2 linked regions of the Styela clava genome follow. The protein of the gene in region 1 interacts with the protein of each later gene in a biochemical or structural test. Links are inferred from orthologs where the notes say so. Each region holds a gene or a part of one and is shown on either strand. Other genes may lie near its edges. The genes, in order: mothers against decapentaplegic homolog 4-like and uncharacterized protein LOC120327575.

Evidence for each region.
Region 2: the proteins of mothers against decapentaplegic homolog 4-like (region 1) and uncharacterized protein LOC120327575 form a complex in vitro, tested with the Homo sapiens proteins (3 studies listed by BioGRID and IntAct, with this or other methods). The link is inferred for Styela clava from reciprocal best matches to the Homo sapiens genes SMAD4 and SKI.

What each region holds. Positions count from the first base shown.
Region 1 is NC_135260.1:17,841,557-17,858,808, forward strand, and holds mothers against decapentaplegic homolog 4-like, read left to right. Parts: upstream 1-9,139; 5' UTR 9,140-9,193; coding exon 9,194-9,330; intron 9,331-9,632; coding exon 9,633-9,801; intron 9,802-10,289; coding exon 10,290-10,494; intron 10,495-11,281; coding exon 11,282-11,416; intron 11,417-12,183; coding exon 12,184-12,303; intron 12,304-13,031; coding exon 13,032-13,154; intron 13,155-13,255; coding exon 13,256-13,372; intron 13,373-13,549; coding exon 13,550-13,616; intron 13,617-14,524; coding exon 14,525-14,693; intron 14,694-14,972; coding exon 14,973-15,111; intron 15,112-15,321; coding exon 15,322-15,475; intron 15,476-16,035; coding exon 16,036-16,102; 3' UTR 16,103-17,163; downstream 17,164-17,252. UniProt on the Homo sapiens protein: In muscle physiology, plays a central role in the balance between atrophy and hypertrophy. When recruited by MSTN, promotes atrophy response via phosphorylated SMAD2/4.
Region 2 is NC_135256.1:13,035,155-13,052,834, forward strand, and holds the start of uncharacterized protein LOC120327575, read left to right. Parts: upstream 1-9,262; 5' UTR 9,263-9,453; coding exon 9,454-9,627; intron 9,628-10,734; coding exon 10,735-10,893; intron 10,894-11,127; coding exon 11,128-11,367; intron 11,368-11,687; coding exon 11,688-11,851; intron 11,852-12,309; coding exon 12,310-12,523; intron 12,524-17,680. Other genes in the region: tetratricopeptide repeat protein 21B-like, read left to right, coding at 109-264, 1,061-1,265, 2,009-2,104, 3,905-4,033, 4,319-4,439, 6,206-6,351. UniProt on the Homo sapiens protein: May play a role in terminal differentiation of skeletal muscle cells but not in the determination of cells to the myogenic lineage. Functions as a repressor of TGF-beta signaling.

The sequences.
Region 1 (17,252 bases):
GTCCAGCTAAATGGTTCGTTGCATATGAAGAAAGCACATCATTCGCTGCAAAAATCCCTTGTTTCAGCTGGGTTGAGTGCGAAATTGGCCGTATTGGGGCTTTTAATTTTTCAATTCGTGTTCGATTTTGGGTTTTGAAGTATGGTACGTTTAAAGCATACTAACATGCATATGCATATTTAGAATACATATCTATTAGGTAGAAAACGTAGCTACAGAACAGAATATGAATCAGTCGCCACGTGGGGTGCGGTTATTGCTGTATTTATTCATTGATATAACATGGGACTTACATATTTATCCAGGGGGAAAGGAAAGCCGAAAGCCTATAAAATGGCAAACCACGGCCTCTCCAAATAGCTCTGTGCTCCTTATGAACCCCCAGGCTGCCTGGACTTTGTGAGCTAGTCGTATACTTATTAAAAATACTGATTTTAACTATAAATTACTCTAGGATATCTTGCCATTAAAATTTAAAATTTGCCATTTTCGTGTCTTGTGAATTTATACAAAAAAGTTTGTTTTTTATTTCATTATTTAGAGTACATTTTGTTATCAATCATGATTTTTGCATGTATATTATTTAATTTTAACGATCCTTCATATAGTCATATATATAGATACTGTTGGTTTGGATGCAATTATATTTTTGTAATCAATAGTGAGATATAGAATTCGAACAAGGGTCGCAGCCAGGATTTTTCCAACGGGGTGGAGGGCATACGGTGAAATTAAAACAGTGCGCCAAAAGTTCAATTCACGACTGCGTGAGGCGTGTAATAAATTAAAAACAATGCGTCGTTCACAGCGAAATTCCACAGTCACGTGTAGCTCGCCTCTGTTTTCTTGGCGGTGTTTGGTGAATATATACAAAAACACGCTCGCGTGTAGCGCCGATCGAATCATGAAATGTGGAAATTTTACTTGGAATTTAATGCTAACAAAGTTGATTTTTTATTGTCATTTATTGATTATTTACATGCGCCGTGATTAGTGGTGGGCAAACCGTATTTTTTTTATATAAAATTATTCGAATATTTTAACGAACATCGGCGAAGATGTTAAAGACAACTATTAAGGAATGTATTCACAACAAAAATTAATTATATTCTGATTTTTATCTTCTGTGTTGGATTTGTATCACAGTTACGGTCCCAATTTTGAGCAAACAATATTATCATTACTGACCCCGGGATGCGATATTTGTGAAGCTGATGTGATCAGCGAATCGGTCAACATTACTAAAAAAACATGTAACAGAACCGGCCGAAAACTATGACTTTTGTGATGGAACCAGCTGACAAAAATTTGAATCCCACCACTCGTTACGACCCATGTAAAGGGGGACGTGGGGCTTTGTATTCATTGATATAGGATGGGGTTAACATATTCACTCATGTGGAGAGGAAAGCCGATAAGCCGATTCCCTGCTATTCTTCTAATTTTTGTCTTCGTTTTTATTGTCAAGATATCCCAGACTGCCAGAATGATTTGAAATTGGACAGCCCTGGGGCTTCGTATGGAGCACCTTATAATCTATGATTGCGAGAAGCTGTGGTTCGCCATATATTTAGGACTTCTTATCCCTTTCCTTTCCCATGGATAAATATGTGCCTAAACCCCATGCTATAATCAGAAATAACCGCATTTGACTTCATATTCTGTGCTATAGCTAATAGATATGCATTTCCAATAAGCATATGCTTATAGTTAGTATGCTTTCAACTTACCATACTTCGAAACCCAAAACCGAACAAGAATCTAAAAATTAAAAGCCTCAATACGGCCAATTTCGCAACCGGCGCGGCCGAAGCAAGGGATGAGCAAATATTTGGAAGTGTCCACTCATTGTATATATATATGCTCATTGAGCTCAGTAAACGTTCTATTCTATATGCTTCCTAATATAGGCCGCGAGACGAGGCCGTTTATCTTTCAGTTTTGTAGCGCACATAAGGGAACTACTTGGAAACAATTTTAAAATGTTCCTTAGTAATATAGTAATAAATAATACTTTGTTCCCATTTCCAAAAGTTGCACGTTTTACGAAAAAACGCTTTTACCACAAGAAATATATGCTATCATCTGTCTTATATTCTCTGCTTTTCCGGCAACATTGGCCAATGAACGCAGAATTCTGCGTGACGTAACAATTAAAATGTTATCAGTTGTAGACGGTTGGATGAATCTCAGTTTGTACTGCTCGCTCTTGCGTTGAATTGGGTAGCCTTTCCATTGTCTTTTTGAGTTATCATAAGTTAAGTTATGCTAAGACGATGTTAAAAATTATGAGTAAGCAATTAAACACTTGTAGATTCTCACCATGGATAGCAATTTAAGTTGAGCACTAGCTCATATAACTTTGTTAAATAGGTATGGTGCGGTAACTTCTAGGAAGGATAGACCTAGAAAGATATTACAATCGTAAATTTTATAACTGAAATCGTTGGAGGAAAAGTTGTATTTATTCGATGAAATTGCCGGCTGACTCAACTTCGCTTCAATGGCCGTTTCTATTTTCTCGTTAACATTTTTCGTCTGGCAAGCTCCATAATGCCCTACTGCTTAGCTCCGAGCCGTGCTAGATGAACAAATGACATTGTAGAATTGTTGTGGAGACATTTTACAGAGTTAAATTGGTGTATCACTATAAAATCTTCGTAAAAATGACCAAAAATGGTTATACGTTGTGTTTGAGGTCAAATTTGACGCATTAGATAGTTTTTTTATTCTTAATTGCATTATATATTTAGGTAGCATGAAGCTTAACCTTCGGCTTCATTCTAGTCCTTATAACAGCTGACTTATTCTATTTGGTACAACAACACGACGAAAATTTCCCATAGGACTCCATTGTTTCGCGTTTCCCAAATATGGCACAAGCAATGACATTAAACAACATGATAGGCAACTCTGACGTCACTCCATAAGACTACAGGCAAAACATTGTATTTCATGATACGCTCCAATGCACATATTTCTCGTCGCCTTTCCCGTCCGTTTTCCGCTCGCTTTTGCTACTCGGCGTCTTTTTTACGTGTAGTACCTGCCTTTTTGCGCCTGTAACGAAACAAAATAATCTCTATATCTAAGAAGTTTTGCTTACTTGGAAAGCTGGAATAACAGGCAAGCTGTAAAGAGCAATTCTGGACATCATAGACGTTTTTTTTTTATCAGAGAAGATTACAAACGCGATAGCGGAAAGATTTGTGTGGAACATTTTGCAGATAATGACAAAGTTCAAAGTTAGTAATTTTAATGTTTGCGCTTAATCATTGAAATTTCATTTAAAGAGGGTGTCATACAAAACTGTGCTGCGATACAATTCCATAACACAAAGTTTGCACCTATCGAACTTGCTTTTGTAGGTGAATTTATTAGACATATTACATATTCAGTTAATCGTAGGTAACATTGCTGGTACATAATGCATCGTAGATAGGTTTGTTTAAATTTAGGAATTTAGCTCATAGCCCACTAATTAATATTGTCTTCTATGCAGGAGGTTGCAGGGCTGAATTCAACTTGCAGCCTTACCGATCACCTGACGATGCTCATTTAGTTTGGCTCGAGCAAGTCTTCTTGAAATGCTTGTGTGGATGGAAACTACCTATATTTTTTGCCTTCCTCCGATTTTAGACAAATTTATTCTGAGGGATTTCGCATATAATTCTCACTGATTGTTGGCTGTTTATAATTCCTATTGATTGTGAATTCTGATTATTACAATGAGTTGAAAATTTTTTTACCTAATTTACTGGCACCTTTTTCTTGTCAATACTCCAAGCTGAGGTAATAAACATGACAATACATTTATGTCATCTGGAAGCAAAATATGCACACTAATTAATAGTTTGGCACATTGAGATAATACATCATGACAGAAAATACAAGTTAAAGATATGTATGACCATCACATGGTAATTAAAATTAAAAAAAATTAATAGGGGCTGTGGAGTATGGAAAGTTCAAGACAAAGAAAAGAACAAATGTTCATAGCTCATGAACTCTCAATTTTGCCTCCATTGCTTTGTGAAGGCCAATATATTTCCAGTGGCTGAATTGGTTTACCTTTATGATAGCAACGATTTTGTATTTAATATAGCGAGATTATTTCAATTTAATTGAAGTGATATAATTTCCCAAAGCAATGCTTGAATCGTCTAGAATAGATCAGTGGTGTCAAACTCATGGGTTTTCGACAGCCGCATTGCATTTTGAAAATTGTAAAAAGAGCCGCAAACAGTTTTTGATAATGTATACTTAAAAGATATTTTTAAGATAGTTTTAGTTTGTGACATATATTGTGATGCAACTAAACAGTTGGATTAAGTTTTATTATTTTCTTCAATTTCAAATGCAATTACATATTAATATTTGCATTCCACTATTATTGCAACATTTGCAAGTTACAGTATTTATTATAAAAAATCGTAAAATTCTATGTACAACCATCAAAATCATTTTTGAACAAGCTTTGAATAAGGAAAGAATAATACATACACTAAAAATAACTTAATCTAAATATATGAACCTAAAATTAACAAAAATACTACAGTATAAACTCTTTTTTTTAATAATTACATTTGTCCTGGCGTTTGGCATCTTTTTTGTGTCACCAGCATACTAAGGCCAGTCTGAAATGATTTTATAGTACCAACTCTAACTAACGAGGCCACATGATCATGGGTTTATCTGGATCTTTACGAATGTTTAATTAATTCCAGTAATGCAAAAAAGTTACTTTTATCATTTCATGTATAGATCAGTAAAAAAACAAATGACAGATTTTTTCGACAAGACATTTCGCACTACATTGCGTGGCATAGGATTGCTTGAATTATTATTGATATTGATTTTTAGTAACTAAGTCGTATAATTATATTAATATACAAACACATGGAAATTTTCTGTTCGAAGTTGGTCTTCGAATTTGTCATATTGACTGCTGAGCTTATTGTGTTTTTTGATTGTATTGATGGAAATATGACAAATTAAACAATGTGCTTCAGAATTTTGTGAAGAGCAGAAATGTTACAACTCCCATTTTCTTCGAAAATGCCACCTTCTTCATGTACTTTGCGTTTAATTTAATTACTCAAGTGTTTTATTCAAGTATTCTTTTGCTAGCTTGATGTGTATTCTTAATTGGGTCAAAATGTGGACAAAAAAAATTAATATTCCAAAACTACTTTCAGTAAATTGTTTTCTGTGTGAATAATCAATTTCACTTTAGAAGGTTTGAAAAATCTATTACATTTAGATAAAAAAAAAAACTTCCAAAATACTATTACAATTATTGTTCAGCGTTCGAGGGCCGCACTGGAAGTTCTCTGGGGGCGCGAGTTTGAGATCCCTGGTCTAGATTGAAGTTGTTCAAAAAATATATGATAGTATTTTAGCATGAATGATAATTATACCCCTTCCGGAATTTCTTCTATAGTACTACCAAAAGTTGATGAACCAAATATAACACAGGTGCAGTGAGGTACCCGTAATCCTCATTTCCAAAGCTGTTTTAAGTATGTCTGGCGTGTGTTGTGCCTTTTTACAAATAAGACCGCTTATGCAATCTTACGCTTTGGAATTTTTAGTTATTTTCCTCAAGCCTTGCAGGATGTGGGGGCCATACACAACTCTACCGGAGGGTCAAATGTCTTTGCATGCCTCCATAGGTTGTTTTTCTATTGCAATTTTCTATTTTCAATTGCATTATATTTCTTGGAATCACACTGTCACTGATATGTCGCCAGACTTCTGATATCTCCCCGTCTGCTATAGTTGTCCTGTGAATAAATAATAGGAAATTGAGATTAGACGAATAGTTGAAAGTTTTGCTTTATGTCGGCTTAATTTCTTGATTGATATACTTACTATTTCTGCTATTGCCTCTTGTGCTGCAAGAGTCTCACAATGCTTAGACAGGTTGGTCCACAACTTTCACATCTGAAGAAAGAGAGGAGATTTATTAATTTTCGTTGAGAATAAATAAAGCAGTCTATATGATTCAGAATGGAAAAGCTAATAAATCCAATATCTCATGTTTTATTTAAAAAATATTTTACTGAATTTGGTATATAAACCAACTAATAAGAGGGTTTAGTCAGAAAATTACAAGCATTCGTGACTCCAAATACTTGAGAAATCAGACTATACAATATAGACCGGTATGAGTGAAATGTTAGGTGAACTTGTTAACACTTTGATTCAATACGCAAATAAAAGTGAATGCGTAATAGTATGTTACAATGAGCAGCAATCAACAATGAGTATATATCCTCACTGATTAAAAAAATCTAACTGGAGGTGCATGAACTATTTGAAACCATAAGGGGTAAGTAAATATGTAATTTCGGCAAATGGGCAACTACGTACCGTACTGAATTAATAACTTCGTAGTATTTGACAAAGGCTGGCTTTCCCACATGTACTTAACAGTGCGATGCCCGGGTGTGATATACAACAATAGTATTCACCTTACCTTCTAACGATTTCTTTTTACCCCAACTTTCAAAAATATCATTAAAATCGACAACAACTGTCAAAGCAGGCACGAACACCATTCGTGTTACGCCTTGAAAGCAGCACACATCCGCTCGTTTTCGTCTCGTCAAGTATGTGCATTGGAGCGTGCTATCGAATACGATCTTCGGACAAAAATGCCGGAGTTGCGCATCATGTTGTTTAATGTCATTGGCACAAGATAGCGTCCATGAACTTGTTTAACATTAGGCAAATTAGTTGCCGGTCGTAGACGCAGGGTAATCAGAGGTGCGTGCGGTGGCGAGCGAGTCACACCGCCGCGCCAAGAAACGGAGAGAAAACAGAAATTGGGATATTTCATGGCTCTGAATTTATATTGTAACTGTGTACGGTACGGTACGCTAGGTCTGGAGGTACCGTACTTAGGCTACTGACATACAGAAGAACCAAATAAAAATAAAGTGTACAGTTGTGATTTTCTCATTCTTCTGTACCGGTATCAGGGGTTTCCAAACCGCGGGCAGGGGGCGGGCCAAATCCGGCCCGCGTAACGATTAAAAATGGCCCGCCAAGCTTAAGTGAATTAGTGAAACAGATTTTGTTTCTACCTGTTTGAATCAAGATACTGCCAATTGTCAGATTGTTATGTCATCATCACAGTCTAAGCTTGTGTTTATCATAGCAATTCGAACACCGGTATCTCCGTACCGGTACTACCGTACCGGTACCACCGGTATCTCAATTAATCGGTACCGGTACGTACCGGTACCGGTATCACAGTATTAAGATTGCATAGGGCAGTAATTTAGTAATCAGACATTTAAATAAGGTTAAAGATGTCAAATAATAAACATAAACTAGACCAGGGCAACTCAACTGGCGAATCCGGACTTTGGAGTACCGGTACCGGTACCGGTATTTGGTTGAATTAAGCGCACATACCGGTACAGACATAGGTCTACTGGACATAAGAGTTGGATTACAGGATTAAGATGGTTCCTCAATAAGTTACAAAACATGAACAATTTTAAGCATATGGGAATACGGGAGATCATGAAACTCAAACAACTGGATTTTGAATTCAAGTCGCCGGAAGACTTACCGTATACATATTTATATATATATCTGTATTGTATACAGGTTCTATGGGGTCGAATGCCGTATCTGTAATCTTTTCAGCAAGTCGGCGCTAATTTACACAACTGAAACGTTGTCATACCGGACCTTTGGTGAAATTGTTGAGTAGCCCTGAACTAGACTACCGTATGACTCAGACTTCAGCGATTTGTCCCCTTTGCCAACGAACTATTCTAGTTTTGAAGCAATACATGCAATACCTACGACATAATGCGTCATTACGAGTCAAACAAGCATGTTTCATAAAATGTCAACTGTGAATCCACTAAATCCCAGCTAAACCGCCGCACACCTCCAGGCGCTATACTGTACTCTTCCGGCCCGCGAACATCCTTTCAATTGTAATTTTGGCCCGTGGCCAATAAAGTTTGGGAACCCCTGTTCTATATCTTCTTACATGCTCATAGTTTTTAGTCTGATTACATTATTGCAGCGCTTAAATGAGTAGTTCAGAAGGATTGGGTGAGCGAACGCGTAATATTTTCTCATCTAAAATTTGTACTTTTCAAACCTTACTAGAGGTATTGTTTGCTTTACCGATTCTATAATCAGTTCTAATTGTTTTGTTTTTATCAATTACTTTATCGTCTATTATTCTGATTATGGAATCGAAATAAACTTATACTTATTGGTTGACCGTACATTTGAACCCATGTGTATATCCGCGGGTTCAATCTATATGCGGGTGCTAAAACCCATGTGTTAGGGTTAGTGTAGGTTCAAATATCCATAAAACAAAAAAATTTGATAGGTGCAATAGTATGCAGGTGCAATTGTTGTGGATTCAAATGTACGTGGTTTCAAATGTAATGGAACCTACTTATAGCCATCATTATTGCCACTATATTAACCTTATGTTGGGCGAAAAAAAAAACAATTTAATGAGCACTGTTATGTTTTATCCAAACAAGCAGTGATCAAGTTATAACAGACCTTGCCAAATGGAATCAATAAAATAAAAAAAATGATATGTTTTAAAAAGTGTTAGCCAGCAAGGTATAACTATCAGACTATTGATTAATGTTTTCCGATAGTTTCTTACACTAATGTATATCACATTCCTCTAAGTTTTCAAGTTGAATTTAGTTTTGGAATTGCGTAGTTAGTATACCGGTACCTGTAGAAATGTGGTAGTGTAAAACAAGTTACAAAATATTTCTGATTCTCTTCATTACTAAAATGACTTTCAATGTATAATGAAGATGCCATACAGTACAATTCAAATATTTTTTTCGAACTTGATTGAATTCAAAATATAATGAAATTTTTTTATTAATAAATAATGTTTCAAAATTAACTCGATTTTGGCTATTACTGCCCCATATATTATGTAGGGTTTCCATGATTAGATAAGGTTAGATATATTTAATTTTTTTTTTTTTTGATTCTTCTTTTTTTACTTTATTAGCCAAAGTCTATTTTTTGTAATATTTTTTCCAAATAGGCCTATTACCGGTATATATTCTGTATATTTGTATAAATCGTTTTATTGGTTCATCAATGTTTATTTTTATTTCTCAATTAATATAATTGTGCAGCAGAACCATAATTTAGCATTATTGAACTATCAAAAATGTCTGTTTCGCTTTATAATAAAGATCCCCTGCCTCCACCTCAGCCGAATACAATGTCGATACATCAGCAACAGCATGCACCTGCCACATCCAATGATGCCTGCCTCAGTATAGTTCATAGTTTAATGTGTCACAGGTGAGTCGTAAAGTGGTATAATGGCAAGATGTAATCTTATTTATCTTTTTATTTCATCAATTTCTGAAAATAATTCGGAAACTTAGAACTATATTCGCGTTCGTGGCTGATTTTTTTGAGTTTTCACCCCGTTATGCTAAGTAATTCAAGAGCCCTGCTGTGCACTATCACAAATGTATTCCTGAAATATTTTGTCTGAGCAAAGTCATACATGTCGGACAAGCAGTTTATAACAATGTCAAGAAATGAATCTTGTTTATATTAAAAGATTGTTTGAGTTAAATGCAACATTATCCATTTAGACAAGGTGGTGAAAGTGAAAGTTTTGCGAAAAGAGCAATTGAAAGTTTAGTTAAAAAGTTAAAAGAGAAGAAGGATGAACTAGAAGCACTTATAAATGCCATTACAACTAATGGAGCGCATCCTACTACTTGTGTCACTATTCAACGTACTTTAGATGGGAGACTTCAGGTAAAGCTTCACTAAAACACTTTTGATTGCTTGCTAAATATCGAGTGGAATAGGAGAGGATTTCCATATTTATCCCAGGATCCGCGAGAGGAAAATCGATAAGATGACCTAATCATGTGACATACCTGGATCTCTCGTCCGGTTACCAGTCTTTTCTTGGTATGGGATTAGTTAGCCATTTATTTGCTTCAGATACATGGACTTGAGGATAGAGAAAGCCATAACCGACCAGTGGTTATATGAACCACTCATACAACTGTGAGGAGTCCAGCAATCATCTTGCACTTAATTATAGCCTACAGGATTCGAACCTTTGAACCCACGCTGAGTAACTTAAGCGGGCAATGGTATTATATTGACTGATTCAAATATTCTTTTTTTTTATCCAATTGTAACTTTGATTGTATACCTGACTTATTTCAACTTCAACTTATCATTTTATTTTTTGTTTATAATGGTATAGTGCTGACAGTGCTGATTTATTTTAGGTTGCAGGAAGGAAAGGATTTCCTCATGTGATTTATGCAAGACTTTGGAGATGGCCTGATCTTCATAAAAATGAACTTAAGCATTTGAAGACTTGTAAATATGCATTTGATCTCAAGTGTGATTCTGTATGCATCAACCCATATCACTATGAACGAGTCGTATCACCTGGGATTGATTTATCTGGACTAACACTGCAACACACAGGTTTGAAAAATATTTTCACTTCTAGAAATGTACAGACTTTAGACATTTAGAGGATCTAGATGTCAACTCAAAGCTATTGGATAATGTAGGGGTAACAAAAAAACAGATCCCAGATCATTTGATAATATTCTAGAGAGAACATAACTTTTGTGCAAAGTGTTCTAGATTTCTGAAACTTTTCGGGTACAATCGTACACAAACAATCATAAAGTTTTGAATAATTTTATTTTTTATTTTCTTAAAAGTAAGAAGGTTATGGGATCTGTATTTTGACGCAACCCTGTATGTACAAATTTCACTTCAAATGGCGGTATATACCAATACTAGTCTAAGAGAAACCTAGTTTGGAAAAAATTTGATGTGTTTGTATATTTAGTAGCCTATCGCACACTATTCTTACCTAATATTGTATTTACCAAAATTTTTAATCCAAACAATGTAGATTCTAGCTGTGATATGTTTTTGAAAACTTTGATATATTATGACCACCATTTCCATTAAAATCATAAATTAGTTTTTTTTAATTACCTAATATCAATACAACTATCAAAATAAGGTGTAATACAACTATGGTAGTAAAACAAAATCGTAAATGTGTGAATTAGCAAATGTTCAATTTCGAGTGGGATTGGCCTTGACAGTTTATAACATTTTAGTGTTTGCGCAATGCCAATGTATATAGGTTCAACTACTCGGCAACCTTGTCTAAATGTTATATAAATTCATTGCATATGGAAACAGAATGTTGTGTTTTTTTCATCTTCATTACTTACTTTTCTTACTCTAGCTCCCCCAGCACCGTTGATGTCTATAGACTACAGAGACATGAAGGCTGAATCAAGTGCAACTCATATACTGGGAACATCAGATGGTTCAGGAAACACAATACAACATTCTGTCAATGATTACAAAAATGTTCCAGGTATTTTTCATTGTAAATGTGGAAATGCCAATGATTTTTGAACCTATTTAAAATTATCTTTCAAATGAAGCTAATTTTTAACTTCTTAACTTACATAGGAGGGCCTATATGTAACATTACAGTATCGTGATCTTTTGTTTAATATCACTGAACAAGCTCCAGTACAGGTTGCTTTGAGAAATATTCACTCAGACTGGAATTAATGAAATACATTGGAAGTTCTAAAATAACAAACATTTAAATTTATGTAAAAAAATGTGTATTTTCTTACAAACCATGATTTCTTTCTCACTGCAAAAGTATGTTTGGAACTATGTTTACCAGTTTCTCGTTTCGAGCGCTAATCAATCAATAATAATTGATGGTAATACTGCAGGAGTCGATTGATTATGTCTGTTCATATTCTGAGTATTGCTTATAAATTATGATGCGAAATTTTTACATCTATTGGAAATGCCTGATTGTATAATGTTATGCTTGAAAAATTGTGTATGTTATCTGGTATTTAATTTTATCATTTTTTACAAAAGTAACACACAAAAAATTATTGAAAAACTCATTTTCAGAAATGTTCGTAAACTTTTCTTGATTTTTGACCATATATAATATTATGACTATTAATTTGTTATATTTATGTGAAATAATTCATGGCGTACTGTGCTTTTTTACTCAAAATCAAATCATACTGTATATTCAATATTTATTACTGGAATAATTATGTAGATTTTCACTTCTTAATTAATATTAAATAAACAAATATTTTGCAGGTGGACTGGGTGGAACTTCATCAAGTACACTGGGTTATGCATCAACAAACAATACTATGCTACCACCTTCTCAGGGTGTCCCCAGTGCATCACAACAATTGATGGAATATAGTCAAAGAAGTAAGTTTCATTCACAGCATATAGTCATAAATTGAATGATTGATTGTATAAATTCAGATCCACAATGCTGACTACAAACCTTACAATTTCCATCTATTGTTTCTGAATATTAGTTTTCCATGGATATGTACACTTTCAATAGACACGTTCCTACACTGAGTAAGCCTGGTCTTGCAAATATCAATGTTGAAGTCTAAAGAAAGATACTTCGGAAATAGTACTATACCACTAGAGCTGTCAGCAGTCTTGTTTGCATAACGTATTATCATATTACAGGATGCTAATAAAGAATTTTGAACGAATTTGTTTTATCATTATTTCATAATCTATTCATGATTAATTGTTGTTATATTGGCTTGATCAAATAACTATAGTCTCTAGCAGACATAATTTCAATTTTATCTAATTGACATAATATTATTCTTATTGAACCAATCAATGGTCAAAATTTTCTACTTCACTATATTTCTCAAAGATATAGTGCAGTTTAGGAATGGAACTTCGTATATCACTCGAGGTATCTTTGTTGGTATTTTTTGATTTATTTCCAAATCAAGACATTGAAATAAAAAAAACGCACATGTTGTTGACTTTGTTATACAAGTACTAGAAAGTTATATTTGCTCTAATTGAGCTGAAAACTCAAAATAAAAATATCCAATTTATAATATATTATGCTTCAATTATATTTCATTCCGTATAAAATTGAATTTCGTTATTGTTAACAGATGGCCAAATGAACTGGTCAAGCAGCACAGCACGATACACACCTGACATGTCTTCACCAGTTAATACACCATACTACACACCCGGATCTGACATGAATTATATGCCAATTTCAAATCACCCACGTGAGCAATCAAACTTTTGTTAGCCTAAATAAGATACTTGTCTAATAATATTTAACTTCTATTTATTTATGATAATAAAACCTGTTTTATTTATTAACCAGCTCCAGAATTTTGGTGTTCAATAACTTCATATGAGATGGATGTACAAGTGGGTGAAACATTCAAAGTTCCTGCATCATGTCCAGCTGTTACCGTAGATGGATATGTGGATCCTTCTGGTGCGTTATATTTCTTTTGTTTCATATTTATTACTTATTTTTTGGAATTGAATCCTACTATACAACAGCTAAAATTTCAGGATTCAGAAGACTGCGAGTGATCTTATATCAATATAGTTCTTATTATGACAGCTGATAAGTTTTAATAAAATGCCAAAAGATGTCTTAACATTCTAGGTGGTGATAGATTTTGTCTCGGGCAATTGTCGAATGTTCACAGAACGGAAGCGTCAGAGAGAGCAAGGTCAGTTTTCAATTTAACATCCATCAATGACGACAAATCACAACTAATTGAACGTGGTTAAAATCTATTCAAACCATAGTATCTTTCAGACATTACTTTTGTCACTGGAAATTTTATTTTTGTTTCGTAATTGAGATTGATAAAATTGGTACTTTGGGGCTAGTCGAAGTGATATTGCCTGAGAAACATTCTATTAGAGCAGGGGTCGGGAACCCATGGCTCGCGAGCCATATATGGCTCTTTTGGTGACGCCATATGGCTCCCAAAAAAATCTAATATCCCAAGACTAAGCTTACTATTGTTACGAGATTTCAAACTCTTTTATAGCCAAATTTGGCAGGAAATTCCCAATACGTTTGAGAAGGCGCGTCCAGCACATGTCTATGTTATGTAAGATAATTACCAGACAGGCATTGTGACAAACAAGGGGATTCTGGAACATATATTGTGACATCACAAAGCGGTAGAGTTTTAAAAACACTACGGAGATACCTAAATGAAAAAGGGCGATGAGTATTGTAGATTTCAACTTGGGCTGCATGTGAGTAACCAAGGCCTGCAGCGACTACATGCAGCATCAGATAATCACATTAAGTGTATACTGACATTGTATGTGTTGACTTTTGAGTAAACATTTCAGGCCTGATTAAGTGAAGAAATGTTGTATGGCTCGCACGGAAATGCAATTGAAAATATTTATATTTTATGGCTCTCTTGACCAAAAAGGTTCCTGACCCCTGTATTAGAGAAACATTCATTTAATCTTACTACATAGGAAGAATTTTTCACATACTGTTTTTTTCAAAATGTTCCTCTGTAATATGCAGCCTGGTTCAGCTGGCTTTAGCTTGGTGTGTTTTGACTATTGGTGAACACTTGTGCAATATGTTTTTCCTTTTATATCTCAGGTTACATATAGGAAAAGGTGTTCAGCTAGTATGTCATGGTGAAGGAGATGTCTGGGTGAAATGTCTGAGCGATCATGCTGTTTTTGTTCAAAGTTATTATTTGGACAGAGAAGCTGGGAGAGCACCTGGAGATGCCGTTCATAAGATTTATCCGAATGCCTATATTAAAGTATGTGTGAAATATTCATGAAGGAAATTAATTTGTCATTCAATAATTCAACCCTATAATCGAAATCAACAACAACAAATGACAATCAAATTAAATACGATGACATTCAAATGTCATCATATTTACAAAAGATTCTGATCCTGAATGAATGCAAATGATAAATATAATCTGATGAATCTGAAATATAAGTCTACATAAATGGAATTTCCACACAAATTGTCTTTATGTAGCAATTTTAAATTGATGAATATTTGAGTTATCTAGTTTAATTTCATTTAGGTGTTTGATCTACGACAATGTTATAGACAGATGCAACAACAGGCACGTACCGCACAAGAAGCAGCAAAAGTACAGGCGGCAGCAGTGTCAGGGAATATACCTGGTTCTGCTTCAGTTGGTGGTATTGCACAAGCAGTCGGTATGCAGAATATATATATAACTCTATACATCTAAATCTATCTCATTCGCTGAAAAATATTCTCGTGGCATAACATAAATTTTTAGGTAAAATTTGTTTCTCGACAGCAAAAGCAGAAATGCTTCCATACCATTCGGATCTGACTTAGATGCTTGAAATGAAAAAATCATTCAGGATTCTGTGTGTGATACATTACTTTTTTTTATGTAGGTACACCTGGTTTATCAGCAGCTGCAGGAATTGGAGTAGATGATCTTAGAAGACTTTGCATATTAAGAATGAGTTTTGTTAAAGGTTGGGGGCCTGATTATCCACGACAAAATATCAAACAGACACCTTGTTGGATCGAAATTCAACTTCATAGGTATGCAATTTTTCAAACAAGCTTTCATATTGAAGCGGGAAAATTGTTGATGTTAAGTGGCCCCTGGAGTACTGAGATAATGTGGGTTGTTGCAGAGAACATGATTTCGTCATTTATCAATGTGTATTTAAATAAGAAATCAATTTCGAATAAAACTGAGTTTGTTTGAGTTAACTTCTATATCTCTTCATTGGGTACTCCCATAGTATATGTACCAGGTTAGAGTTAGGCCATAATTTTATTCTGTTTTTTCTTAAGCTTCCCGGTCAAACTCGGAATTTTTTTTAGTTCTATTACGAGTTCGGGGACTGTCTGTGTCAGCCAAGTTCATATACCCCTGCCCATAGGTTTCAGTCCCTTCATACAACTTGGATGTAAAGTAGGCGAACAAAATTAGTTACCTCCGTATTGGTACACACACTTCTGGAGCACCCTTCATTGTATTTATTATGTGTGATAGAGTGCTAGGTATGACATGTTTGTAGTAGTATGCGACAAAGCAGGGTCACATTTGGTGCAAACCTTATCCACTGTAACCTATTTCATATGATTTTTTGTAGAGCACTACAACTTCTAGATGAAGTGCTCCATACCATGCCAATTGCCGAACCGCATCCACATGATTGAAAGTAATGATGAAAGTCATGATTCAAAATAAAAAGGCTCAGATTCAGCTGCAATCTGTCCAATGCTTTCAACTGCGATATCCGATTGAACTATGAATACCATGCAGGACCTACCAATCAAATAAATTATATCAACAGAATATACTTTAAGAAATCCATAGTTCCAACTGTACATATATGTGTGTGCTTGTGAAGCATGTCAATGATACCCAAGTTTCATTCTGTTCCTGTCGACAGTTTTTTGGTCAATGACAACATCATAGCACCTGTATTACCATTGCTGGACCATTTCTGATAAATAAATTAGACTTGTCTTTTCTTACTTTACCAGTGTAATTCATTCTTGACTGGCTATCAAATAGTTACTAGCGGTTTGAAATCATTGTGCAACATATTTTGTATCTTCACTGATCAATCTAGTACAGTTTAGCTATTTTGTCAATTCCAGTTCTGATGTTATTTTCCCTGCATAGGCCCAGTGATTCTTGGCTTTATGATATTTGCTATTCTTAAACTTAAATATATATTCTGTGACTGGTAATGCTTGTGATTTTGTTCATACTTGTTTTTCATGTTCATTTGCCACCTAATAGTAATACTGAACATTTTTGCCAACTGAGTTTTCCATAAGTTTTTGAGTTTTTATTTCTTCATTATGTTGCACTATATCTTATTACCTAACCCTATCAGAGGTTGTCCTATGCTCAAGCATTGTGCTGGATATAATGTCTTGAAAAATCCAATCAACGTAAATTTTAAAAACTGATGACAACAGAGGATTACTAATATTGGGACTAAGCAATATAAAATTTGTAATGATTATGTAAAAAAGCGCTTGTTAAATATAGTCGGTCACATGATATTTTATATGTTCCTTTATTCATTTCATCCTCAGTTGAAGGTAAATGCTTGACTGCCTTACGCATCTTGGCCAACTTCTGATGGGGCCTGTACTTATTTTCAGCATTATGGTATTATTCACATTTGTTGTCATTCTCTTATTATTTTTTGGATGGTTAATAAGTAATTGATCATTGCAAAATAAATCATGGCTGTTGTAAACAGGTGGTCTAGAAGTGTCTTTTTATACGGCAGTTATGAAATTCGACACTTTTAATAGTATCGTTTGTTCCAAACTACAAGCGGCAGAA
Region 2 (17,680 bases), on another chromosome or scaffold:
TCAAACCAGCCAGACTGCCCTGCTTACATATTACTGACAAACCTATTGTGAGTTTACAGCTCAAAGCAATATTTTTACATTCCCAAGTCAATCTCCGATATCTAACAGGTACAGTGGGAAGACCAAAGAAGCATTGCGTTCTTTTAACATTGCAAGACGTGATTCAGATTGGGGAGAACAAGCTGTTACGAACATGGTTCGGATTTGTCTTAATCCTGATCAAGATACTCTGGGTGGAGAAGTATTAGAGAACCTGGATGATTCGTAAGATTTGTTTTCGATTTGCAAGCTTCCATTGTTTTATATCTTTAAAATCATATGCAAAATAGACACATACAATTTCATTGCTATTGACATGCTTATTGTGAGGGTTGTCATAAAACAGGGGTGAACAAAGTTTTCTTTTGTATAAGTCATATAAAGGGCAAAGGGCATCATTTAGAAAAGTTCTTCAAAAGACCGTGTTCCCAATAGTTCGAATTCGTTATGTAATTTATCCCAATTAAACCTTTTTAATGAAATATATTTGAAATTTTTAAAACTGTCTCCTAGAGCTGAGTGTCGCACAAAATGCTATGGCCGACTGCATGCGACCCCTTGTCATTGAAGTATGAATCTAATTTTTATGAATCAACCAATTTTTTTCCACAAATTTTGGATATGAAAATGCTTCGGAAAACTTATGAATATATAGCATTAAAAATGTATTTATTGAAATTCACGATTATCTCACCATACCTTTGTTTCACTTAATCAAAATCAGCGGTTTTCAACCTTACAGGATCTGTGACAATATTCTGAAACTCTTCAGACTTATGACGTTCTTCTTTGAGAATATGATGCGCCCGAATAAAAAGCTAACGAACGAACGCAAACAAATGTGTTACAGTTTGAGTAATAAACCGATTACAGCCGATTTACTTTGAATTTATGTAGACATCGCAAATGATACCTAATAAAGGTCTTTGCTGATGTTCCCCAGAGAACCCATCTTTAGCCCCCTTGGTGGACCCAGGACCCAGTTTAATAAACCCTGATCTAAATAATGACTTACTTTCAGAAACTCTCATGACAAATTGACGGCAGCAGAAGCAGGAATTTCAACGGCAGAAAGATTGATCAAAGAACTCTGTAAAACACCTGCAGCAACCCCAACAGATGCAACCAAGCGTAAAATATTAGAAAAATATGTTCTACTCGGACACAGACAGAAAAGTAGTGCGGAAAAAGCACTCGCTGCTTTTATGGAAATTCTACAAAATGAGGTATTTTTGTCGGATCGGTTTATTTTGATTTAAATCATCATTTTCTCATGTATGGGTCAGAGAACAATAATGTTTATTTTTATGAAAAAAGATTTTTCTTGAATATTACTTAAAAGCTATGAAGCTATTAAAAATAATTTTTTTGGACCCTTTTTGTATTATTTGCAATTCAGTCATAATTCATTATATTTTCATTTTAATATTCATTTTGACATACAACGATCAAACTTGGAACAGCCTAATCATATAACATTGATAATATTAATAAAGAAAATAGAGAATTGATCTAAGAATCTGTATCTTTATAAGGTATCTATGGTTTTATCAATGATATTAATCTGTCGTTATCTATTAAGAAAAAAGATTTTTCTTGAATATTACTTAAAAGCTATGAAGCTATTAAAAATAATTTTTTTGGACCCTTTTTGTATTATTTGCAATTCAGTCATAATTCATTATATTTTCATTTTAATATTCATTTTGACATACAACGATCAAACTTGGAACAGCCTAATCATATAACATTGATAGTATTAATAAAGAAAATAGAGAATTGATCTAAGAATCTGTATCTTTATAAGGTATCTATGGTTTTATCAATGATATTAATCTGTCGTTATCTATTAAACAAGACTGAATTTACCAGTAGAATATATTTGATATTCCATATTTGAAAAAATATTTTTACATTATCCAAGTAGGTTTTGATTGACTTCGACAATACGGTACTATTATAATTTCAGAAAGACAATGTATCATGTTTGCTGGGAATGGCAATCGCTTATCAGATTATGAAGCAAACGCCGAGAGCCAGGAACCAACTCAAAAGAATTTCAAAGGTATAGAATAATTTACCATTGCTATAATTTAATACAGAAATAACAAGTTATTACATACATGCATACAAATGCGAATGTTTTCTCGGAATTGATGGGTAAACTTCCCATAATAGTGTGGAATAATAAAGGTACCTGAACGGATACTAAAATGTTGCAACCTATTTTCGTAATTCTATTTGATTGTGCACATGACTTCATCAAGTTCATTCATCTGAAACTAATACTGTTCTCATAAGAGACAAAGTAACCAGGCAATAGGCTATGATTTGGCATTTGATTGAGCCGTCTTGTCGACTTTCCTCTTCTTTGAATAGAAAAAAAACGATGGTAAAAAAATTAGTCGATGCAAGAAAAACTTGAAATCAACTACGCTTATCTCTTTAATAATTTCATGATTTACAACAGTGACACTAATGACTGATTTGCATAGTGATTATGAAAGTGTTATGCAATGTAAATATGAGAGTTTCAAAGTGTGTCCTTCTGAATAATTATAAGCCATTGATGTGAAATAATAAATCTCAGATGTCATACAGTACCCAATTGTGTTTCATTTCTTGTGTCACCTTCTTGAGCTGTCGTAAACATCATGGCGTTTAAATGCTCAAAGTTAATTGTGTTCTTATCACTGAAATTTAGTTCACAAACCAAGAGTATTCGAATTATCTTACATAGTCCTAAATTTATTTAGGAGATTTCTTGTGTGTTATCTAACTTCAGTTTGGGATTGATTTCTTTGAGTAAAGATAACAGCCTCACTGGATTTTAATCACTAATTATGATCAGTGTTTATAATGTAAGATTGGATCTGGAAAAACAAGCTTTGCTTCCAAGTTTGGCCAGTTGAAACGTGACTGATGACATCATTCCTAAATGAGGCATTTTTTAATACAAATAAGCACATCAGCATTCAATATTTCTTTTTGTTTATTTTATTTTCACAAATGGAAATCATTATTTCGTATATATTTATTTTATCGTAAAAAGGTTAAAATAACATTGATTACGGCTGATGATGAACTTGTTTTAAAATAAACACATCTTACAATGATGTTATCTCTTGTGCGGTTTTTATTGCATGATTTGTGCATAATGTACGCATTAGCAATTGTCCATCTTTGGACTGGAATGTTTTGGACGTTAATTTTTGCGGCAGAAAAATATTAATAAATAATGGGGTGACAAAGTAGATGTTAGTCGTTTTTTAGAATATTTGAAAAAAAGTTTAGGAGTGATTTTTTTGAAAAAAATTTTGTTTTGTCTATTTTTTTTTATAATAAAATCATATTGCCTAGTATTTTGCACTGCAATATTTTTAAATACCGCCATTATTGTGAAAATGTGAATCATGATTAAATACATCTCCTAAAGTTTGAGCACTATCGCAGATCCAAACCCCATTCCCATCTCCACACCCCATGGTATAATGATTGGATTCCCGTCCTTTCAAGAATTAGTGACTCCTTCATATCATATAATATCAGTGGTTTTTGTACAGAGCCTTGCTCAGAGCCAAAGGTGTGAGTAATCTTCATATAAGATTTACAGGTGCTCCAGAATTGTGTGTACCAATATGGAGGTAACTGAGTTTGTTCGCCTACTTTACATCAAGTTGCGTAAAGGGACTGAATCCTATGGGCAAGGGGTATGTTTACTTGGCTAACACAGACAGTCCCCGAATTTGTAATAGAACCAAAATAAGGAAAATCGGAATAAGAATATAGCCTAACCCTAACTTGGTACACACACTGTGGGAGTACCGATTTCTATGTAAAATTTTTATGTTTTCATGAAATACAGATGCAATGGACACTGGAAGATGCAGACAATTTTGAGCAGGCATGGTTGTTACTTGCGGATGTTTATATAAGTGCAGGGAAATTTGATATGGCAACTGAACTGTTGAAGAAATGTGTGGAACATAATAAGGTATCAAAATGAAATTTAAAATTACTTGATGTTTTCAAGTAGGGATTTCCAAATTGAATTGAGTATTTGAATAACATTAGGATTTAGTTTTTTGTTTTTGTTAATTTTTAATTTGAGAATAATTTAAGTTTTAGTTTTTTTTTTATAATTTGTCATTTTAAGCAGTTTACATCAGATGGTTAAAACAAAATATAAACCTATTATGAATTCTGTCTTTCAAAGTGCTTTGATAACTATGTTCATAATTGCTCAATCTATCAACATCTATTTTTCTATTCAATCCAGTCTTGTTGTAAGGCATTCGAGTATCTTGGATACATTTATGAGAAAGAACAATCCTATCAAGATGCTTCAACTCATTATGAAAAAGCCTGGGATTATGGCAATCAGGCTAACCCAAGCATAGGTAAGAAGTACTGAATTATACAAAATATATAGTACAGGATACCTCAAAAATAATGAACCTATAAATTTCTTAATCACTTTGAAGAAAATGAAGAAACTTTATTCAAAACTTGAATTTCTGTTTGTGTATTATTGTACCCAAATGTTTTAATGATCTAGGACGCTTGGCACAAAAGTTATATTATTTTTAGAATATGTTCCAAGTAATCTGGGTTCTGTTTATTTCAACATTGTAATCACCTCTATATGCTATAATGCTGATTGATGATAGTATCAACTAATTATTTCTTTATCGGTAATATCTTTCCTTGATTGAAGAAAACTGCAAACAATACTAAAAAGGATGACCTGAGTAGGCAGACTATGTAAACAGTGTTTGATTATGTTTATGGTATATAAAAATGTATTTGGGGATTATTTTCCAAAACTCATAGCAAGCTTTCTTCAAGATTTCCCTATTTTCAACATTTTTCTTTACTTAAGAATGTTTAATTAGAATACAGGATGATCAAAAAAACAAGACTCATGTCATTTGACGCATGTTTTTGAAAGAACATAACTTTTGTGTAAAATGTTGTAGATTACTCAAACTTTTGGATATAATCATACACAAATAGAAGTTGAAGTGTTAAACAAATTTTCTTCGGACCTCCTGAAGTATGCGCACCAAAATGGCGCACAACCTGAACTTAGGTTGTGTACCAGGCTAGGGTTCAGATTGTGCGACATCTTGATGCGCATACTTCAGGAGTACCTTTTCTTCATTTTCACAAAAGTAATCAATAAATTTAGGGTTCTGTTTTTTGTGAGTCACCTCGTGGAAGAATATACACTTTTATTTGTCCAGTGGGATCTTGGTAAAAAAACATAGTTATGTAACCTCACGGTAACCTCATTACACCTTCGAAGATTATTTTAGCTCTGACCACTGGCTGCTTAGAGGTCATTATTCTTATCTTATTAATTTATGCAATACAATATAACTATATTATCCTAATTTGACACAAGGCAGAAACTAATCTGACATTTCTGTTGCAACATCCTGATGTCTTAATTCAGGATGTTTACAAATACAAAGCAGAAATTGGGTTAAAAATCTGGTTAATATCATTTCATCGATGCTTTGTTCTTTGTTGATTTCAATCGAGCATGGTAATTTCTTGCAGACATTTTAGGATGATTTGTGTGATGAATCCTGTTTGAAATAGGAATTGAATGGGAAATAATCCTATTGCATATTTCTTGTTTGGAATGATTGCTTGTTAGCAGTTCGAACTAGTCGGCTAATGTTCATTGTCAAAAAATTATTTGAATTTTATCAATCCCATCATTTTACTCAAAACTAATTCGATATTTTCAAGTTTCTGGATATCCTGATTCCAGATTTAGGCAACCATATTGTTTTTACACTTAAAAATAGCCAGTCATATGGCGGGTTATATAACCAACTTTAAACATAACATATAGCTGGCCAATGCAAAGAAATTAGTTTTTTCATGTACACAAAAATTAGAAAAATCCTCACAATAAAAGGCTATTGCTTTCGCTTACAGTAAGGAAGGCACCAGGCAAAACAAATGGGGGTAAGGTGTTAAGAACAAATAAATTAATAATTGATGGTTTGTGCCGCCACCAAAGATTATAGTATATTTAATTTGTTTGTCCAAGAAAATCAGTGACTAATGGCTTGTTTTTCCCTATTTCAGATCTTTTTTGTAACAGCTTCTTAGCGTGACTCTTACCAAGTCTGTTTTATATCATTTACAGGATACAAGCTGTCTTTCAACTATCTCAAAGCTCGAAGATTCATCGACGCTATCAATATTTGTCACAAAGTACTTGATAAGAATCCACAATATCCGAAAATCCGAAAAGAAATTCTTGATAAAGCCAGATCAGCTTTGAGAATGTAAATCACTGCAAAAGACATGCAAACAACCTTTTTACCAATAATTGTATTCTGTAAGCTGGAGCTCGAGTTAATTTTCAATCAGAACTGAATATGAATAGAGGTAGTCTCAATGCTATTGCTATAGTTGTTTATGATCATTTTTCTGTAAATTAATTTTTAGGCTGCTATTCTGAGGAAAAAGTAGTATTCAGATGAGGCAGTGAACAAAGTTACTTTTCAGTGATTTATTATTCAGTATGTTTCATTCCAATACAAATATTTTTGTCTTTTTGTTGTTAAGATATATGTCAATTTATACCAACACTAGATAGGCACTGTAAGCATTTAGACTTCATTTTAAAGCTTCTATTATTTGATATAAGTAAGTTGACCTGGCGTAAATGGCTTCATATTCTGAATCAGTTACCTTTCCTGACATCATCGTATGTTAAGCTGTCATTCAAGGCTTTATTTCATGTTTTGTGTATTTGAATATTGTGTTTTTTGAACATTTGAACCTAAATTAATGAAAGATAAAAGAGATGTTTACCATTCATCATATGCCTTCAGTAATTATAATTCAATTTTTGTGCAACTGGTCTCAAAATGCTACCCGTAATTGTATAACCTGTCTGGGATATTCTGTATATTTTTCTCCACATGGCTTGGTGTTGTATATTACTTATTGCTTTCAGTAGAGTATATATATATTTTTGTATTTTCGTTCAGTAAAATATAGTTCAGACTATATGAGACTGTGTAGGCTTGGTGTTTTGTTGGTTTTAATCGGGGTAATGCTTCGTTTTCTTAGTTTTCTTACCATACCGTTGCGGCATATACGGTAACCATGAGAAGAACTACAAGTGGAAATAACAATGTTAAGCGTTCGAGTTGAATTACCGGTATATGAAATGTTGGGTGTATTTGGAGGGTGTTAAGTGTCCAATTTCGAATAGGTTATTGCGAAAAACCGTTTTTCGCTTTCCCGATAAAAATTATTGACTATTTGGTCTTGTGTATATTCATGTGCATCGCAGCCCCACGCCATTGTGAGTTCTGCCAAAATATCTGCTTTGACTTATACAAGCATGAAAAATAGCTACGTGACACTAGTAGTCAGAATTACGGACCATGTCGAATGCTTGTATTACTTCTTTATATATCAATAAACTATTCCAGATACTGGACATGTACATCATGACATGATCACTGACAAGCTAGACGTTTTCCGTCCGGAATAACATCCGCTAAACGCTGTATGTTGACGTACAAGATGTGTTTATATTGCCCATAATTCAAGTTAATAAGCACGACGAGTTGCTGCGTGTTTCTCGGCGTAGTAGCAGATGTAGTGTTGTTGGCCAAGCTTGATATCAATACAGTGATTCCGAGGTTAATCCAGATTAAATTAAATCCATTTTTCCGGCGACAAATCCAGCGTGTCACAAAATTAATTTTGCCAAATGGCATTGAGGTTAAGCAACGTTGACCGTCGCCTGTTATTGATTAATTTCACGAACCTCCGGCTGCTTGCGAAAGACCGTAAGTGCACTCTTTTAACGGATTAAGATGTTGTGGATATAAATTGGGTCCAATTGGAGATACGTTGGGCTGAGATTCCTCATTCTTTACCTTCTGTATTATATAATGTATTCTAAACTGTTCGTAATTTTAAATTATGAAATAGTCAAATAACGCAATGTGTCGGCATTACAACAGTGGAAGTTTTTAATAAAAAGAATACTGATTTCTCTGTGCGGATGGGCTCACGCATTCCTTTCTTATTGGTCATCGTGAGCGGCAGTGTTTTATGTCAATATTATTCAAGAGGCCGAGATCGGACAATATTAGGCGACTTTCTGTATAGAACAGGCGGATGTGTACTTTCAACCGCTATTTTGCGCAATATTTTAATATTCTTAAGAAATGCTAAGTGACGCCTCCGGTGTCCATCGAGGAATCGATTTACCGACATCGTCGACGGACGTCGGGGAATACAGGAGTAAAGCACCATAAAGAGAAGAGCAGACGTCTAGACGGCGCGTATGTATTCACACATACACGCGCGTTCTCCTCGCGACATAATAGAGAAACAAAGTGAGAAACTCGAGCGAGGGAAAGGTCGATCGTCGTCGCTCAGTTCTGAGTTGTCTGCATCGCTCGGCTAAATTTCAGTATTCGACCGGGCCTTAGGTTTTTAGCAACGGTGCTTTGTTGTAAAGTTTAGCTTACGTTCGGTTTCGTATGTGCGGATATTAAACAGTTAAAATATGTTTATTATTAGATTTTAAGTTTTAATATCAACCAAATTCTATGGTAAATTTACAGCAAAAAGTGTTCAGCCTATGTCGCCGATAGAAATCGCTAGGCCGACAGACCGGGTATTCATTATACACATGCTTTATAATTGTTATGCAATATCTGAGCGTGAACCTCGATTTGTGTTAGCTTAGATATAGTTAGATTTAAATAAGAATACTGTTTATGAGTATTAAAGATAATATCCTGAATTTCACATTACATTTGTCTGACTGATACTTAAATTTCCTGAAAAGAGTTCTCAATTTTGGGCCAATTACGCTGCTTCCTATCAAAAACTATGTGTTAATAAATGAAAGGTGTTAATATTTTTGATGATTTTTACTGGACCAAATACCCATGTTTACTACACTGGACTAAGGCTGTAATGTAGCATTATTTTGAAGTGTTGTTACTCTAGTTATATATTTCAGGTATTACAAAATGTTAGTCACAATACATTATTTATAAAGCTGCTAAGCATTGTAATAACTAATGTATATTAACAACAAAACTGATAACTAGATTCAGACAAATTCATAAAGTTTAGAAATATTCCAATAATAATTTAATTGGAAAAATAGTAAAGGCAAATGGTTCGAGTTACACTTGAACTTACGTATAGAGTAATCTGAAATGTTGTTTATGTACCAGGTTAAATATACATAGACTGTATTCAAAATAATATCAACATGGGTTATTTAATTTCTTGAAAAGTTGAACGATTAATACATCTCATTTGTTTACTGGAATGTCAACAACTCTGCGGATACAATTCGACAAAATCTGACGCTTTTCTGTCTGGAACTACAAACCGGGATTATTTATGATATCTGGCGGATCAGAGCATACCCTTGCTCGCGCCATCATGGAACATTTCCACCCGACAACATTTCCAGAAAGCTTGAAAGCTACCTTGAACTGTTATCAGTTATCTAGCATAGATAGCCTTAGTGGCCCGAGTGGATTTCCAGCATTGGCTGCTCAAATGTGGTTTAAGGTTGGTGTCTTTATTTTGGATATTCTGTTTTGAATAAATGAAATTTTCATGTTCATATAGCCTACTTCAATCCTAACTCTACTAAAAAAAAACGAAGCGTCAAGCGTATCTTTGCAGCATAATCATTTACAGATGGTATTATTATACTATACTGATTATACATCTACAATAGCCAGAATTGACATAAAAACAGAAGATTCAGAAACAAAAGATTCTTATTGGACAGAGGAATCTTTATTGGATGATAGTATTTTCTGCAGCGTTCTGAATTTTTATCTTCATTTTTCAAGACTTGGAATACTTGATTGAAATTGAGAATTATACAATATAACAATATATAGTTCAGTACTCTATGTAATAAAATCGAAATTCATTCCTGATTTAAGTTAATTGATTGTTAAAAGTGAAAGCAATTACATAAACTTTCTACAAATCAAGTTATGTTTGTGGCTGTGTATCCATTTCACATAATGTTATTATGATATTACTAGCGATCTGGTTCTTGCTTTTAATGAAAATCTGTAGAATGTGTTTTTCAATTTCCTGACTATTCTGTGTTAATATTTTTGACACGAGGTTGAGTTCATGTGACTTATTCAACTCTCTTTTTAAAATATTCAAATTACAGGCATTGTTTTTTCAATGCATGACTGTATACAATCTCTATTTGTGCAATTTAGCCGCGCTTGTTATTATGCCTGACTTGCCACCAAGAATTTTCGAGATTTTTATATCAAGTAAATTTTAATTCACTGTGTCCTATGTAGTCGCCTTATTCAAGTTGAAATAATTATAGTATGCCATGATTTATTGTCAAACAGTAAAGACACTTATCCATGTGTTGTATTTTTTTATATGCGTGAAGATAACAATTGCAATTTTTTTTAAACACTTTCACAAATATACTTCTGTATGATTAAAGTTAAACTTGAGTTGAACATACCTAATCTAGTTCTGTATTGATGTGCAACGGAACTCCTAAATCATTTGTATTATTTTATTAGTTGTATTACCCTATATGCCAGACAGATTAATGTCTGCACCTATAATTATACCTACACAGGAAATGGCCTCAAGATATCCTATAATTTTGTTCCTTAACTTTAGGAAAACAAGCAATTGCCACCAATACCACCTCAACCAATGGTACAAATTCCATATTTCATTCCTAACGACAAGTCGGCGAAGCGTTCGGAAACGTGTTTAGCCGGGGAGAAGATTGCCTGTTTCATTGTGGGCGGTGAGAAAAGACTCTGTCTTCCACAGGTAAAAACTTTATGATTTGGATCTGTAGTAGCACAACAACATTCAAAGAATGAAAATTGTTTCGTATCCAAAAACAGAACACTGATTAATATGTTTCAACTGTATCTTCAAAAATTACAATAAGAAGACAGTTCTCAAATTTGCATATATATATCCTATCCATTTGTTGGTCTTTATTGGTAGTTTGTACCTATTTCACATCATTTTGAACTCCTGTTAAATTTTGTATTTCAGATACTGACTTCAGTATTGAGAGAATACAGTATAGCTGAAATAAACCAAGCATGTGCCGATCTTCACATTTACTGCAGTCGGTGCCTGCCTAAACAGTTAGAAACTCTCAAAGTACTAGGAATATTACCGATAAACACTGCACAGTGTGGTCTGATAACAAAGACAGATGCTGAAAGATTAGTGGCACTTTTAACAGATCAACATGAGCCTGTGAAATCACACAGAGATCGACTTCCAAAGGTCAGTGCTATAGACATACCTTAGCACCTTCTCAGCAATTCCGTAATACACTTCATTGTAATTGATTGAACAAAATTACGTCTTAATAAATATACCTACTGGAATGTCTCGAATCAATCTTTACTAAATAAGCTAATAAATATACACATACTGTAATAGCAATTTTCATTCTTGTATTTCAAGTAAAAACCCTTGCAACCAAGTATTGACCAAAGATTACACATGTGGGATTCAAAGTTTCTGTTAATAATTATCATCGTCCCTGTTTGTTGGTTCGGTTCATCAATATTATCGTCATTTATTTGATTTCTATTTTACAGCATATTGATCCAGACAGTGGTATTGAAGTTTATCATGAATGCTTTGGACGAGGTTATGGAAAAATTTACCCAGAACTTTACAATTCACCTATTGCACCCTGCATTGTATGTGAAGGTTGTGGATGTATGTATAGCCCTCAACGTTTCATCACACATTCTCACAGGTACCAAATGACATCTATGATTTAACTATACATTCTTGCATGTATGGTAAATGAAAATTTTCAAATTAGTTATGGGCATTAGGTATAAAACATGTGGATTTTACATACTGATTGCAAATTCTGAGTCAGTGACATTCGCATCATGTTATTGACATTATCATAGTTCTATTTTTAAGTTGAATGAAATATTTCTTTCCTGGAAGCTGTCCGCTTTTAATTTGTTATGGTCAGTGTAAAAACATCCCAATCCTTCTGGGAATTAGAATATTATGGGACCTGAATTATAGAATTTCAGTTTTCATAATACAGTGAAAATTTAATATACCATCATCAATTTTTTATTTCAAATTGGGATTGGTATGGTTTGACCCTCGGTGCTCAATTTAGGTAAGAATTACTTATACGGTCCAAACTATTATGTGGTGATAATAAAAAGAAAATTTTTTATCAACACTCAGGTCTTTTGAGAAGCGAACATGCCATTGGGGCTTTGACCCTGATAGCTGGAGGAATTATCTTCTGCTACCTAAAGATCTTGAAGGAGCGAAACGTGAAGAATATCAAAAAATTCTTGATCAGGTCAAATCAAGATTTGAGCAACGGTATGATGTACCTTCTCACCCACCTGTAAGATATTCTGGGGGTTCTCCAACACCAAGCAAGAGAAGATATGTACGTTAATTTCATTTACTTTATTCATTATGTTGTCTGGTTTAATTCTTTTAACACCAATGTCTTCAAGTTTTGTAGGCACTTATAATACTTGTATTTTGTACCGAAGAGAAGTTCAAATATACTTGACTAAGTCTTTTTTCCATTCAATTTTGCTGTAATAACAGTAAATTCAATAAAACTTATATGAATAACTCCCGAGGGTTTTCAAGATTGTTGGATCAATGCCTAAGACTAAACTAGCTAATGCAGTTCAATCTTCGTTCATATTCAAATCTACATATATTCATTCTAATGAACTAAATGAACTCGTGCAGGGTTAATAATCTTAAGTAAATGATGAGGTCGTTAACTTGAATCTGACTTAACATGATACGAAAGAATGTTGAAATTTACTTTTCATTATCGCCTGTCATATTGCGGTCCCTTGCAAGCGTGCTTATGAGCATAACAGACAGTTGGTCTGATTGATTGTTAGTATTGTAAACACTCTACAGTGTTGTTGTTAGAAAATATTATGAATAGGGCTTTGGTATAATATCTGTTACAAAATTACTGTATGCTTTCTTGCAAAACCTTTATAAATTATTTAGGGTAATTATATTCATTTTATCACAATGCAAAATTTCTAGAATACCGTACTTACAGTAACTATTTGGTATTGACATTTATACTTTAGAGACTTTGGCCTAGCCAAAGCGGACGATATCGTTAATATCACACGTTTTTAATTTTGTCTTCTAGTTGGTCTCGTGTGCTTGCTCTCATTTACAAATCCTAATACGAGTATTGCTTGCGCTGTCGCTGCTTGTATGTTTTTGTACTATTCACGACGCGCCTTTGTGACGCGATCCAACGTGTTATTACGTGCAGCACAGTCCCTAGATACAGTCTCTCATCAAATTGATGATGTATATCTAACTCATATATAGATACGATTTGCCGTGTATTAATAATATTAAATTGGTAGGCCAAGGAGAAATGTGTTTCGTGGTATAATGACATGGTGTACTCGAATGACCGTCACTAATTTGAACGATGTTTTTAGGATTTCAAAAATATTATTATAAATTTATCGGAAAAGTAATCTGAATGAATTTTTATGTTCATTCCCATCAGTTATCTCGCTACGGCAATAATTGTCTCAATTTCCAGACAAAGCCAATAGGATCTCGATTATCAGTAACTTATTGATTTTAGTGATTCCTGCTCGCTTGTATTTACCATTGCACTACCAATTGCGCATTTTACTGTGAATTCTAAATCTACGCTATTCCATTTTTATAATTTATGTTGCCGTCACGACTTTTGCCATGCGTGTCAAAAACGGTATATTTTTCTTGGACAGGCTATTAATTATGAATTATGAAATGTGAATTTATTATATGGTATTTGTCACGTATAGATAGATGGCCAGTGCGTGCGGACTACACTCGCATCATGCATTGATGAATGATATTGCTATTTCATCGCGTGCAAATCTATTCGGCCTGTTTGTTATGGATACTGAACATGCTAAATTGAAATCGAAATTTAGATTTTCGTTGGAATGATAACCACCATTAATAAGCGCGATTTTTGAGAAATAGTTTGCACATAATTCGTTTGCAAAATTTCTGTGAACATTTTATACACGTTCTCTTGTGTGGCAGTTTGTAAATTTAATCTAGGAAACACACATAAATCAAACCAATGGTACGATTTAACTGTCACATATGCCTGCAAGAATTAATGAGATTTCAAAACTATTTGATATTGCAAAAACAAATTGTCATGAATAAAATGTTTGGATCCTAGTGAAACTTAGTGATTTTTCTCTCTCGAGTATTGACTCATTGGAAATGCATCTCTATAGGATTAGCAATTCGCTCTTGACCTGAATTAACGTATCAGTCATAAATGTAGTTTTCTGCTTTTTACTACTTATAACCAATCATCCCTTTTCCTATGCGTCAATCGTAGTAAATCTTTCCGATCGATAGAATAAATCCGCTTAACGTCTTTGGGGAACTTGGGAAACAACCATTAGACTTGACGTTGCATAATTATGCATACGCATTTGGGTCAGTTTAGTTCGACTATTCCCCCTCGCAAACCCAACTTAGCCTAAATAATAACAGTGAAAGCGGATGATGTCGAGACTTAATATCGAGCGCAAAACGTTACACTAATTATTATTACAGTAACTGTTGCCTCTCCCTCTACGTCTCCAGTACTTTGATATGTATATACACTATCGATTAGTGAATTTGTCGTCGTCGAAAATTTAGTCTGCGCTGTTACCTATTGATTTAGCGACAAAGTTATTTCCCCGCAAAGATAAGTTTCGAATTCCCGCTCGATACCCGATGGGATATTATTATACTAAGCATGGTTACAATTTCGGCGATACGGTATTGTTTTATACTGCCGCATAATAAAGTTTTTCAGAAGTCTATACTCTGTTCCATGTTTTATTTATATTCCCATTGGAGTTAGACATAATAGTAGAAAAATACAGAATACATGAATTACAATTTCTATTTTATATCGATTTTGTTTTGTCAATATCAGTATCAGTACCAAAACTTATAGCATAGGAAAATCTTTCAGCATACCTTATTGCGTACAAAATATTGAAACAAACTTATACAACATATTGGTATGACTTTATCCCACCTGGGATATCCAAAGATCTGGATATAGGTTTTCCAAGTTGATGTTGGTTTTACTAAATATGATGTTGGGATATTAGTTCTCCCTCTCTAAATATAGATTTTGTGGCAGTAATTATGGGACTTGTGGCCTAAAATTTGAGTGTGCTGTCCAAATATTTCGTGTCGTAACGTGAAATTTGGTTGTTGACAGCTGTACCGAATTTTAAATTTTAAAACACCGCCAATCAGCTTAAGTAAAACACACCCTGCGAGTGTGCCGGTTCCGGCTAAATTCCCTCCATAACTGTCTAGACCGTAATTGCCCAGGGAAGCCTTACAAAATAAAATATACCTAAATTGTGCGATGTTGTCCTGACTACCAGGTATAATCCTGAATTGTCGCTCCAAGACGGTGCATTTTATTCACGCCCATGCATTATCGTGTATGATAAACCAAGTTAATATATAAAAAAAATAAACCATGGCCACTTGGGACCGCGACAAGGCCTCTGGTCACTTAATTGACTGGACGATATCGATTTTGTCCGTACAATCGTTAAGATAACAACATTAGCCAGCGGACGACGAAATTTCCGTTTGAATGAAAACCCGTCGTATCTATATGCTTTTAAATGGAATTTTGCTTAAATTTTCAAGAAAATGGATCTTTTCACTATCCCCGATTGAAATGAGTTATATCGTGAAATGGGAAGAAGCATTCTTATAAATAGGCTATTGAGGTATTCGTCAATCCTTTTCAGGTTGTTTTGTTTGCCTGGTTTTATCATGGAGGCATGAGTGAGAAAAAATCTATGTTGATTACAGTTTGCAAACGAAAACCATCTTCTGCAACATTCAATTGTAATTTGAGCGCCAGCCAAAAAATATTGATACTATGTCATTAATGCGGATCCCCATTTTTCCAGACCTTGTCAGATTTTTTAGGTTCGCTGAAAAGCGTATGAATGTAATCTTAATCACAGTACAAATCACATTACGTCTCACTTTTTTCTAGTGCTATGTGCTATTGTCGCAAAACTATCTTGTTAAGACCGAGTCTGTAGGCAATAAATAATGCATTCATACAAACAACCCGTGTTCGTCTCGCCGCGACCTTCTTTGAGAATATGCCAATTCAGTCATGCACGTACTGTGAGTTGGCTTGGCTACATTTCATCGCGATTACCCATGCGTACATGAAGTGAGATAATTCTTCTATCAAAAAATTCAGTCACAAAATAATTTGTGTACAATTGAACTCAATTGCATTCAAGAGACGAAACTTGAAAGACTAGTCGTTATCCTACTCTGCCATGTTTAATTTTTCATGAAAGTTACACTCAGTGTTTTGTTTAGCAAACTCCGTGTCAAAGTTCGGAAGTAAGCCGATTGAATTAAAATTTACCTAACAGTGTTCCCATCAGGATTTTGTGGAAGGTGTAGCGATTGCAAACAATCAATGCATCAACATAAACATCTGAAGGCGTATCTGCTAGTAAGCCATCGTATTATACAAGATTAAAAACCCGGAATCCTATCCGTCGGAAGAGGGAACACCGATACCTGATCCACTGAAAAGCTTCCATAATGACCTTCGTAATCCATCTATATCGACGTGACACGCAAGTATTTTTACTCTCGAAAGCCTCTGTTAACCGAGGTCGTTTCTACGCTCGGTCCATACATCTTGAAAAAATCTTATCTCGTGCTGTAGGCAATGACGCCAATAAAACGTGCTTTTTTCTTTTTCTATTGCTGGGTCGTTGCCGTTTGATGGGTATTATTTCAAGGGTGTTGCCAATATCAAAGGATGTCTGATCGTTGGTGACTATACAATAGACATACTCACAGATACCCTACGTAAAGTATATGACATTGGTATTCCCCGATTCACCTACGAAATTTGAAATGAAAATGACTGCTTTGATATGTAATTTCAAATTCACTGAGAGCATATTATGTATATGTGATGCATAGTCTGCTTCGATGTAACTTGTTTCGTTTGCACAAATATGCACTCTCGGTGCGTGCGTGGTACCGGAAATGACGTGTATGAATTGACCGTATTTCCAGTCCTGCCCGGCCAAGCTGAGATGAGCATAAGCGATGTAGATTGTGAGACCCATATTTCTCCAAACTATCACCGTAAAAGTTACTATTCACAGGAAGGCCATCTTTCGAAATTATAGTTGATGGTAGTTTTTGAACTGATGATGTGTTTTAGAGCAATCTCCAACCTCAGCTCGAAACACAGAGCCGCGTGAACTCAATCCAACAAGCATCTTACCTCAAAAGGTTAATTGGCTGTCTTAACGAGGCGTGACCCTCGACTATTTTCCCATCAGTCAAATCGTTTTTAAATTGGCGTTCACGTTATCGCAGTTAGTCTACAGTTTTTCTTTTCCGAAATTTGAATAAGTGATCATTTACAAGATGACTGGACGTGCTTTCAAACCACTTTCAAGAAAATGCGACGCAGTTATTTCGTCATTAACGTACAACGGCAAATATTTGCGTCATT